3 linked regions of the Schizosaccharomyces pombe genome follow. The protein of the gene in region 1 binds, or shares a complex with, the protein of each later gene. Each region holds a gene or a part of one and is shown in the gene's direction. Other genes may lie near its edges.

The links.
Region 2: mrp7 (region 1) and mrp20 share a complex: the UniProt entries of both Schizosaccharomyces pombe proteins name them as parts of the mitochondrial large ribosomal subunit.
Region 3: mrp7 (region 1) and mrpl44 share a complex: the UniProt entries of both Schizosaccharomyces pombe proteins name them as parts of the mitochondrial large ribosomal subunit.

The regions. Positions count from the first base shown.
Region 1 is NC_003423.3:2,860,998-2,864,760, reverse strand, and holds mrp7 (mitochondrial 54S ribosomal protein bL27m), read left to right. Parts: upstream 1-2,000; 5' UTR 2,001-2,136; coding exon 2,137-2,598; 3' UTR 2,599-3,282; downstream 3,283-3,763. Other genes in the region: Lid2 complex histone demethylase subunit Lid2, read right to left, coding at 1-946; morphogenesis protein Mor2, read left to right, coding at 3,521-3,763. UniProt on the Schizosaccharomyces pombe protein: Component of the mitochondrial ribosome (mitoribosome), a dedicated translation machinery responsible for the synthesis of mitochondrial genome-encoded proteins, including at least some of the essential transmembrane subunits of the mitochondrial respiratory chain.
Region 2 is NC_003424.3:400,918-404,397, forward strand, and holds mrp20 (mitochondrial 54S ribosomal protein uL23m), read left to right. Parts: upstream 1-1,968; 5' UTR 1,969-2,142; coding exon 2,143-2,628; 3' UTR 2,629-2,895; downstream 2,896-3,480. Other genes in the region: ATP-dependent RNA helicase Dbp10, read right to left, coding at 1-954, 1,055-1,277; AP-2 adaptor complex subunit Apm4, read right to left, coding at 2,896-3,480. UniProt on the Schizosaccharomyces pombe protein: Component of the mitochondrial ribosome (mitoribosome), a dedicated translation machinery responsible for the synthesis of mitochondrial genome-encoded proteins, including at least some of the essential transmembrane subunits of the mitochondrial respiratory chain.
Region 3 is NC_003423.3:4,124,069-4,126,758, forward strand, and holds mrpl44 (mitochondrial 54S ribosomal protein mL53), read left to right. Parts: upstream 1-1,814; coding exon 1,815-2,004; intron 2,005-2,077; coding exon 2,078-2,190; downstream 2,191-2,690. Other genes in the region: F-box protein Pof12, read right to left, coding at 105-1,280, 1,367-1,513; cnp3 (centromere protein), read right to left, coding at 2,302-2,420, 2,501-2,690. UniProt on the Schizosaccharomyces pombe protein: Component of the mitochondrial ribosome (mitoribosome), a dedicated translation machinery responsible for the synthesis of mitochondrial genome-encoded proteins, including at least some of the essential transmembrane subunits of the mitochondrial respiratory chain.

The DNA.
Region 1 (3,763 bases):
TGCAAGCGTCGCAATACCAATCCTCTTTAGGAATCGACGTTAAAGGGGGATCTAAACAGGAAGTATGATATGCCGCTTCACACCCATCACAAAGTAAAATGGTTTCCGGATTCTTGTCCAAGCCACAATACTCACATTGCTCTCCTCTTTCAATAAGAGGTCGTTTCAAACTCGTAGAGCCGTTGACCTGGATGGTTTGAACAGGAGATTGAGCAGAAGTTTCGGGTATAGGGGATTCTTGCTGAGCTGAACTACGAGTGTTTCTAATTTTCCGAGTTGAGCTCTCTGATCTTTTTGATTTGAATGATGGCGATGAATCCCTTTCAAATGGTTTGATGTATCGATCATAGCAACGAGTGAGAACCTGCCTCACTTCTTTAGTATCTTCAAGACGCAAATAGATTATGACTTTATGTAAAATTTCATTATTTAATGAAGAGCCGGAATTAGTAAACTTTGAGATTGCATTACGCAAACGCAAAAAATCAACTGGGCGATTCCCGATAATCGGTGGGTGATAAAAATATAAACCGCGACTTTCATGAAATGCTTTAAGTTTCTTAAAATAATCATAATTTTTTTCATAATTGAGACAACCTTTATTTAAACATTGGCGTTTTGACTGAAACTCAAAAGCGCCTTGATCAAGAACAACAGGTATTTGCCATCCCTCAGGTGGCAGAAGCTTAATTGCTCCATTTTTGAAAATTGTATGCCAATTATCTAACAAAAATTTAAAGGGATCAGTCATGTTCGAAGCATTCAACTGCACTGACAGTCCAGTTGAAAGTCCAAATGGCCTATTTGACGCGCGATAATTTTTGTCATTATGGTCACAATCAAATTTCAGATATGGTAATGAAAAGTTATCTCCTAGCTTTCTTATTTTCTTCTCTCTTCCTGATCCCATAGAATTATGTTCGTGCCACAAAAGCTGGCATATCATGGAAAACGGAAAAGTGCATAATCAATATACATGGAGAAATATTTAGAAATGCAACACCACCCTGTTTTAAAAATATATACCAAAAAATTTTACAACTTTTAAAAAATATTCTAATAAATTACATAAAATAAAAAACGCGTACATTGATGTATTTATCGTCGATAACACACCGTTATGGGATCGACACGACAGTATTAGGTGGAAGTAGTAGCTTAAAGCTTCAGATCGACATTAACGTAGGTACAGCTAAGCAAAACGTACTTTAATTAGTACTCCCTGTCGTGCTATGGCTGGAAGATCCACGAGAAAAAGATTTTATGCCAATTTTAAAAGTTTTTAACCTAAGGAAGTTTCCGAGTATAATCAAATCCAGTTAAAGCTTGACAATATCCTGATACATTATCCTGCGAACTAAGGCAGCACATATACTGTATAACTTGAAGCATATCGCTGTCAAGGTAGAATTTATGGTTTCTTCACAAGAAAATGAAATTTGCTGGTTCCTGCCACCAACTAGTAACACGAAGCACATCCGTTTTTATTCATAAATTTTTGCTTTGAGGAACAAAACAGTTGAAATTGCATTAAGACATCAATTAGTAGCACAGAAAAATCTATTATATGTGATTCCAGCTGCATACTTTAAAAGTTCAAGTAAAATTGAATATCATTGAGTAATAAAGACAATACAATAAAGGCTAAAACTTTGAAAAAGTTATATTTCTTTCATGCAGTCATTAATGCTGTTTGAATTGAAGAGCCAAGTGAATTTTCCATGATTAAAAAGAAGGATAGAAATTGTCGACGTAAATTTAGTGTCTTTTACTTTTTTTTTCATTAGCGATCATGCTTCCAATATAAACAAAGTAAATTGTAGGTAATGGTACTCTTTTAGCGAGATATTAGGAGTAAGGAATTTCAAACAGAAAATGTAAGGCTACACTATTGTAAAATAAGAATATTTTATACGATTACCACGACTCGTAAATTGGGATAAAGGAAATGTAAGGTAGAAACTTTCGAAGATTGGTTACAACGAATCCATCCTTTTAGTATAAACCAATATTTCGACGAAGATATAATTTTTTTAATATTTAGTATCCTTCTACATTACTAATTATTTGCCAAATCAGTTTAACACATTTTTCTTTTACAATACGTACTTCATTTGATGCAAAGTTCACCGTGCAATGATCAATCAAGGGCTTTTTATTCGTGTTAACAATTTTCAATTACTTAAAGCTAGTTTAGCTTATAAGAAAGCATCAAATATTCTCACTTTCCCTCCTATTCGTACTTCTACTAAACATGGCGGTGGTTCATCGAAAAACACAGGTGATTCTGCTGGTCGTCGTCTCGGCATAAAAAGGTCTGAAAACCAATTCGTTAGGGCTGGTGAGATCCTAATTCGACAACGTGGTACAAAATTTCATCCCGGAGATAATACCGGTCTAGGTAAAGATCACACAATATATTCTCTTGTTTCCGGATATGTTAAGTTTTTTCAAATGGATGTGTCTCTTCGCAAACGGAGGAAATACGTCGGTGTTGTTTTTGACAAAGAGACAACGTTACCAAGGCCCAAAGATGAACCTACAATTCGCCGTGTCAATAAGTATATAACTTCTGCTAATTCTGCTCAAGTTTCATGAAACCATGCGGAAACTCTCATCATCATACCTGCAATGCTCACTATTTAGAGATACTTCAAAAGGATATACTAATAATTACATGCATCAATGCCTTTGGATTTCCTTCAACTTAAGGTTGCACGAAATAACATTTTCTTCTTTTTATTATTTATTTAAACTCCCGTCACGGTCATCGTAGTTTATTACTGTCTAATGCTCAAAAATGTGAATGCATGATTAAATTTATAACTTATTTTGTTACTTTGTCTTGGGCGTATACAAGTTTGCGTATATGTCTTTCTTTTTCTACTGATTTATGCTTCTATTTTTTTCCACGCGAATAATTTGATAATTAAGCATTGTATATGTTGTTCTTAAACTTTCAAGTTTTTTCAACAAATATTTATAATTCGTTTCCAAAAAGTTAGCGTGTAAAAATCGCATTTGCCACGGTTTAAAAATCATTAAAAAAAACTGAACTTGTACCATATTATCTTTTCTGACATAGAATTCAGAAAGTTTTGACCAAACATACAGAAGGTTATTCTTTTTTTACATTTCATTTAAAAATTATTTTGGGCATTTTGAAGTTAGACTTTTAAGTATATCACCTACTATATAGTACCACACCTACTACAACGCAGTGCGTTATATTCCTTTATGTGCAAAAATTGTTGCAGTGTGCTGAGAGGTTTTATTGTTCGGAGTGCTAGCCATTACAAACTTCTAGTTTTGAATCCATTCACGCCTAAATTTTAACAATCGATTGCTAGTCAATTTGCTTACGCATGCTTAAATATAAAAACTAACGAGATAGCTTTTTTATACACTTTTTTCTTCACTTTTCTGTAGGCTAGCGGTATTGCTCTCAAACCCTTACTTTGCATACTCCTTTTCTTTGAAGTTCGTCTATTTAGTAGATAACCATATAATGCCAACCTGAATGAGCTTGAATGAAATTGCTCACGATCAACCTGTCGAAAATGGTCCTTTGTATTCTGAGAAGCAGGACCATACGGCAGTTGATTACGCGCTTCACATACTTTTCACCCAGTTTGTTCGACTCTCTGAACAAAAAATATCATTTCTTTCTCGTTATCATGCCAACGAAGGTAAGAATGCTGAACCTGTACGATTCAACGTTGGAGAGCAAGAAGCTATCCTCCTTCTTAAAAAGGGGGAAGAT
Region 2 (3,480 bases), on another chromosome or scaffold:
GAAAATTATTAATTTCATTGAGACGCGCTTCTTGGTCCAAAGACCCGTAAATTTTTGAAACCGAATATCCTGCTTGAACAAGTAACTCAGAAACATACTCGACATGATGTTTTGTAGGAACAAATACTAGAGTAGAATCTGGTGATCCAGATTCACTTCCTTTAAGCGCTAATTCTAATGCACGTTTTCTTTTCTTCGGATTATTGACATTTCCTATTTCTCTTGGGCGCACGTTATCTTTTAGAGGAAGCTTAATGATATCTTGTAGTATACATAAGAGAGCAGCTTCGCGTTCAGCGGTTTTAACAGAAAAAAAGGCACTTTGTAGATCCGCGGAAACCTTGGATTCTACATCAAGGCGTACAAGAACCGGGTCTTGAAGTCCAGCCTTTGCAAAATCAACAAGAGTACGTGGAAGTGTGGCAGAGAAGAGAAGAGTTTGACGAGAAGTCGGCAAAGCATGTAAAATCTCTGTCAATTGAGCAGCAAAACCCATTTCAAAAAGTCTATCGGCCTCATCGAAAACGACATACTCGATTGAACTCAACTCCAATTTCATTTCCACCTTTAAATGTAGAAATCTTCCAGGAGTTGCGACCACAATATCGGGTTTTCCGGATAGCAAACTAAATTGCTCCTCTAGACTGACGCCACCGACGATAGCGACAGATCGAAGATCCGTACCTTTAGAAAAGTCTTTGACGACTTTCACAGTCTGAAGAGCAAGTTCTCGATTTGGCGAGAGAATTAAGGCGCGAGTATTAGAGTTTGCTAGAGTGGACTTCAAATGCTCAATCATAGGTATAACAAAAGCTGCAGTTTTACCTGATCCAGTACGTGCCATACCTACAACATCACGACCTTCCAATAAAAGGGGAATCGTTTTGCGCTGAATCGGCGTAGGAGCTTTAAAACCCTTCTTAAATATTGCTCGAAGTAAAGTTTGATTCAATCCTATAATTAAGTTAGAAAAATATCAAAGTAATTTAGATTACAGTGTCTTGAAGCATAATGCAAAGTGACCTTATGGCAAGTAATCACGAAGTTAACATACCCATCGATTGGAAATTAGAAGCCTTTCCATTCCCCTTTTTTCCCTTCGTCCTCCTGTTAGACTCCAAAAGCTTCGAGGCAATATAATTACCATCATCTTCATCGCTCACATTTTCACCAACATTTTCGTGCTTATCTTTTTGATTATCAGTAGCAATATCAACAGGAAAAGCTTTTAAAGAATTTGATATATCGACCTCGTCGGACGTCTGGAATCCGGACATTTAAGACGAGTGAGCTGCACTTTTGTTGATTTTTTAGTTCTCTAGTGTCGCTGGCAAGAAAATTTACCGTATGAATAACAACTATCAAAAGGGCCTTCTTAAGTTTGATTTAACATTCTCATTTCAATTGTTCTGCTGCGTTTCTTTATATTAAAAATAAGTAATCCAACGTATTTTAATAAACTATAACGAACTTGAAATAAGCTGCTTTATATGTCAGCAATACTACACTACGCTACGATATACTACGTTGTGTATCACTATATGTCACATGTTCATAATGTTCTATTTGCTCTATCAGCTTTACATGATAAGTTATCTAGAAGGATATAATATCATTTATGATAAGATGACTATCAGTTATAATCCTTGTTATTTCAAATGTTATAAATTGAGAACAACTGAATTTGATTCCTCAGTTCAGTTATAAGATATCTCAGCTATAGATAACGATATATCCTATATATTAGAATACCTATATCCAATTCCTACTTATACTACTTGCGTATTACAATATAATAGATCACAAGGAAAACTCACCGCAGTTCTACGTATCCTTAAATCAGATACCAAATTGCGTAGCTTACATATATTACGTTCTAGGATAATACAACCAGAGACGTTATTTGTTAATAGTATACAACTGAGCTTTGATGCAATAAAGCAACCGGATTCTCAGCACGTTAGTACTAAACAACATTTGAACTCCGTAATCCAACAAATGGTTAATAACTAATCGTTTACCTAAGGCCGTTGACATCAAATTCATCTTGAAATCTACTGTTGAGAAAAACCATTTGTTTCTCTTTTTTTGCATAACTAGCACAAGTTGCTTTAGCCTTGAAGTTGAAACTCAATAGTAAATATGAGTAAAATTGCTGGGAAAAGATTAGTGTACTTTCCAAATATAACGTTCACGTTATGCAGAGGACTAAATCTTCAACCTAAATTTGCAGTATTTCGCGTACCTCTTCATGTTAACAAGTTTGATGTTCGCGATTATTTGCAACATGTGTACAATTTAAAAGTCGTATCAGTTAAGTCAAGAATTTATCAGGGCAAACTTTTTAGAAATCAACTAGGACAGGTTAAGAGACCACAATCTGAAAAACGCGTCATCGTTGAGATGGAAGAACCTTTCGTTTACCCAAATGCCCCAAATGATTTGAAAGATTGGCAGGAGGGTGAATTACTTCCTGATGGTTCTAATGTGAAAACCCTGAGCAGGTATCCAAAGGTCCTTGAACAAGTTGACATGAAACGGGTGAACGAAGAGTTAAGTAAGTTACAAGATAAGCAGATACTCGAATCACAACAGAAAATCGCTAGACTTTTAAAGAAAAAGTATTAGTATTTTTTTCATTTCCCAGGTAATGTTTTATTTTGGTTTCCGTCTATTCATTAATGCCTACAAAAGCATAATTATAGCCTCAAATGCCTCATCGAAGCGGTATGGTGTTTAATTGCATTCATTATAACCTCTCTTCTTTCATCTATTAAACTTTCAACGCCACTTGTTTCATTTTGAAATGTTCTAAAACTATTTTGGAAATTCTTTTCATGTCGGAAAAGCACGGTCGTCAATTAATAAAATAATAATTTTGTATCACAATACTTCTTAAATGCGTATCTCGCAAGTTCCAGCCCTAGTTGAGTACCTTACCCATTTAATACTTTTGTATTTGCTATTAGAAGGTTCACTGACCCTTAAGTATTGCACATGTAGACCGGAGCTGGTAAACATAAGAATATTGAAATCTAAGGATATTGGAGGCTTCGCCCATATTTGCTGGTTAGTTGTATTAGATAACTCTACCTCAGCGTAAAAAATAAGTTCAGTTTCGCCTAAAAACCGGGGAATTTTCCAATTGATAATATTTTCAGAGGGCTCGTACCCTGCCTTTCCTCGATTTACACGAGGATTAGCTTTTACCACATTTGTGGGAACCGGTATCCGAAAGTTCAAAGAAGAAGAAAGTTTGTGTGGATAGTCTGCTCGTATACTGATACGATAAATAATTTTTTGTTTCGACAACTGTTCGACAATAGGAACAATTCTAAAAGGAATATTTATGTTTTCATGTGAACGATAACTCATTAATTCAACCTCACCATCCGGCGGAATGAAAGTAATTCTGTGTTCATTTTCAAATTCCGGCAATCTAACACATTGATGAAACTGGCAATCTTCTAAAATGACAAA
Region 3 (2,690 bases), 1.3 Mb from region 1:
AATAATCCAATCTAAGTAATAATAATAATATAAATAAAATTATAAAACTATGGTTAAACTCATCATTTAGAATTCAATCATGTACGATAAAGTGAAACCTTTCTCTAAATATTAAAGAGAAACTTTAATATTCTGCCGTCGGAAAGGGTTATCAAAATAGTATCTTCATACAGTCCTATATCTTGAACCTTACATTCTTTTTCGTAATCAGATACGGGCTTATTGTGGATGTTTGTGCAAGTTAGCATTAGCGGAGATACGATTGATTGATAATTTGTATCATGAAGATCCCAAACACAAATATCGGCACAGTTTTTGGATACAGAAACAATTCTTCCACAAGAAAATAGTTTAGATATCTGAACACCACAAACGTGTCCTAAGAGACGACCTAAAAATTTTATCCGTAATTCGTTGTTAGTTGAATAAAGCCTCTGCAAAATTAAAGAATTGTCCGGATGAGATGTCAAAATATAGGACCCATACATAAAAATAGCAGAAGCAGGTTGCTGAGAGTACTCAATGTCTTTGTTGTCATGCAATGCAAGCCTACTACTTTTGACGCAATATTCGTTGAAAACAAATTCTTGCAAACTAACGGTCCATCCACCAGATAGAACATAATCATTAAAAACTACATGAACAACTTCATATCCTTCTTTTGATTGCTGAAAGTGAATAGCAACCTGTTTTTCAATACTTGAAACATGATATTTACCAAGTACTTTCAATTTGGTTCCAGCTTGATGAGAATGCTGAAGTATATATAAATTGTTGTCGTTTGTCAATCCACAAATGTAATTTTTATGCGATGATAATGCCACAAATTTGGTAGAGAATGTTGCAAGGTTTTCAATATTTCCGAAACCTGTCTCATGCACCGTTACATGTAGCAGGTTACCATCCTTTAAACCAATATAAAGGCTGGCGTTATCCAGACACATTACAGCCGGACCAGATTTGACAGTTTCATCTCTAAAAGAAGAAATAGCCTGGCATTTCAAACTGTTACCAACTGAGCTCCATTTTGATATTTGAACGTCATTACAAAAATAAATATTATTTTGGTGTGTAAGCGTTAGCCCCAAACGATCTTCTCCAACGCTTTTTTCAGAATTAAGCAATTGAGGGAGCATAGACTCTACTTTTTTACAACGTCCGTCCTTCCAGTTAGATTGCCTTCGAAACAATCCTTTCCAATTCCTTCGTTTTTTTTCAATGCGACCATGTCGTCGTAAATGCTTAGTCCCAAATTCTGAGAGATATAAATTATGCCATACCTGTATGAAGGTCGTTAGTACATGGAAATCAGTCTCTCAAAACATGAAAATTCGACTATATCACTAAAAAGTCAAGAAGAACATACCGATGAACGGCGCACAATTGAATTCCAACTACGAGATACACGTTCTAAAGCAGCTAAGTCATGTGCAGACAAATCATTAAGAACGTGAAGGAGGGTTTCATGGCTGAAAATCGACGCAGGGTTTTTAGCCTTCACATCGGTAGTCATGTTGGATAAAATCAAAATTGCAATTGTTCATGAAAAAATATTTCACAAGCGGAAACCGAGGTTCTATATAAAATTGGAATGACAAATTGTATTATAGAGACATACTAGTTTCGTTTGTATCTCCAAGTTGACTTAGTTGTTGTAGGAAGTGAGACTATCAGGGTAACGGTCACCTAGCTTACCAAATGTCATTTCGTTTACAAAACTTACCACCATTTAATGTATTTAAAATATCTACACATAAAGATCTCTTTTAATTACATTCCTTGACGACTTTACTCTCCAGTTAAAATTTTTAATCATGATATTTGGGTACATTAATAAATTGTCAATTTTGAATGTGAACCCGTTTTCCAAAGCTAGTCAATCTGCGAAACTTTTGCTAGCAGTTGCCAGTAAAGAAACCAGCAACTCTCTTTATGGACTTAATCTCATTACCAGTCTTGCATCAAAGGATACCAATTCAAAACCATCTGTTGAAGTTGTATACAGTAAGGCTTTTAAGTAGCTAGATGGTTTAACTGCGACCGTTAGATTTGACTTTTGCTAATAATTATTATTTAGAGGATGGAAAAAAGTTGACTGTTGATCCGACAAAAATGAATATTGGTAGGCTAACTGAATTAATTGACGATTACAGTAAAACGCTTAAATTTAAGGAAATGATGCAAAAATAAGTTTAGAAAAAATGACTTTATTAATATGATTAAATTGATAACAGATAATTAAATTACATAACGACTAAATGACTTTTGTACATCGAAATCCATAACACACTATTAGTATTGTCATCGTTCGTTTGGAAAATCCCCTATTCCCCTTCTTTTATTTTCCAAGGTGTCGGTCGCATGGGTATAATAAAGTCGAACAGCTTCTTTGCCGATATTTTTTATGCTGTAATAATTCCCTAAAGCAATGTTAGTCAAAACACATTCTCGGTGTATAATTCCTGTTTGAATTTTTAGAAATGTGTATATTTAAACTTACCCCTTGGAACAATAAATACTCCATCTTTTTTCATTCGAAAAGTGGTTGCATTTACTGTGACCTCGATCTTTCCCTGTAGTATACAAAAAGACATTATGTTGTGTTTCGAAGGCTTCACTGGTTTTTCTGCTCCTGCTGGCATTTCAACGACGCCAGCAGCAAAAGATGGCTCCTCCTTGAACAAGCTGGC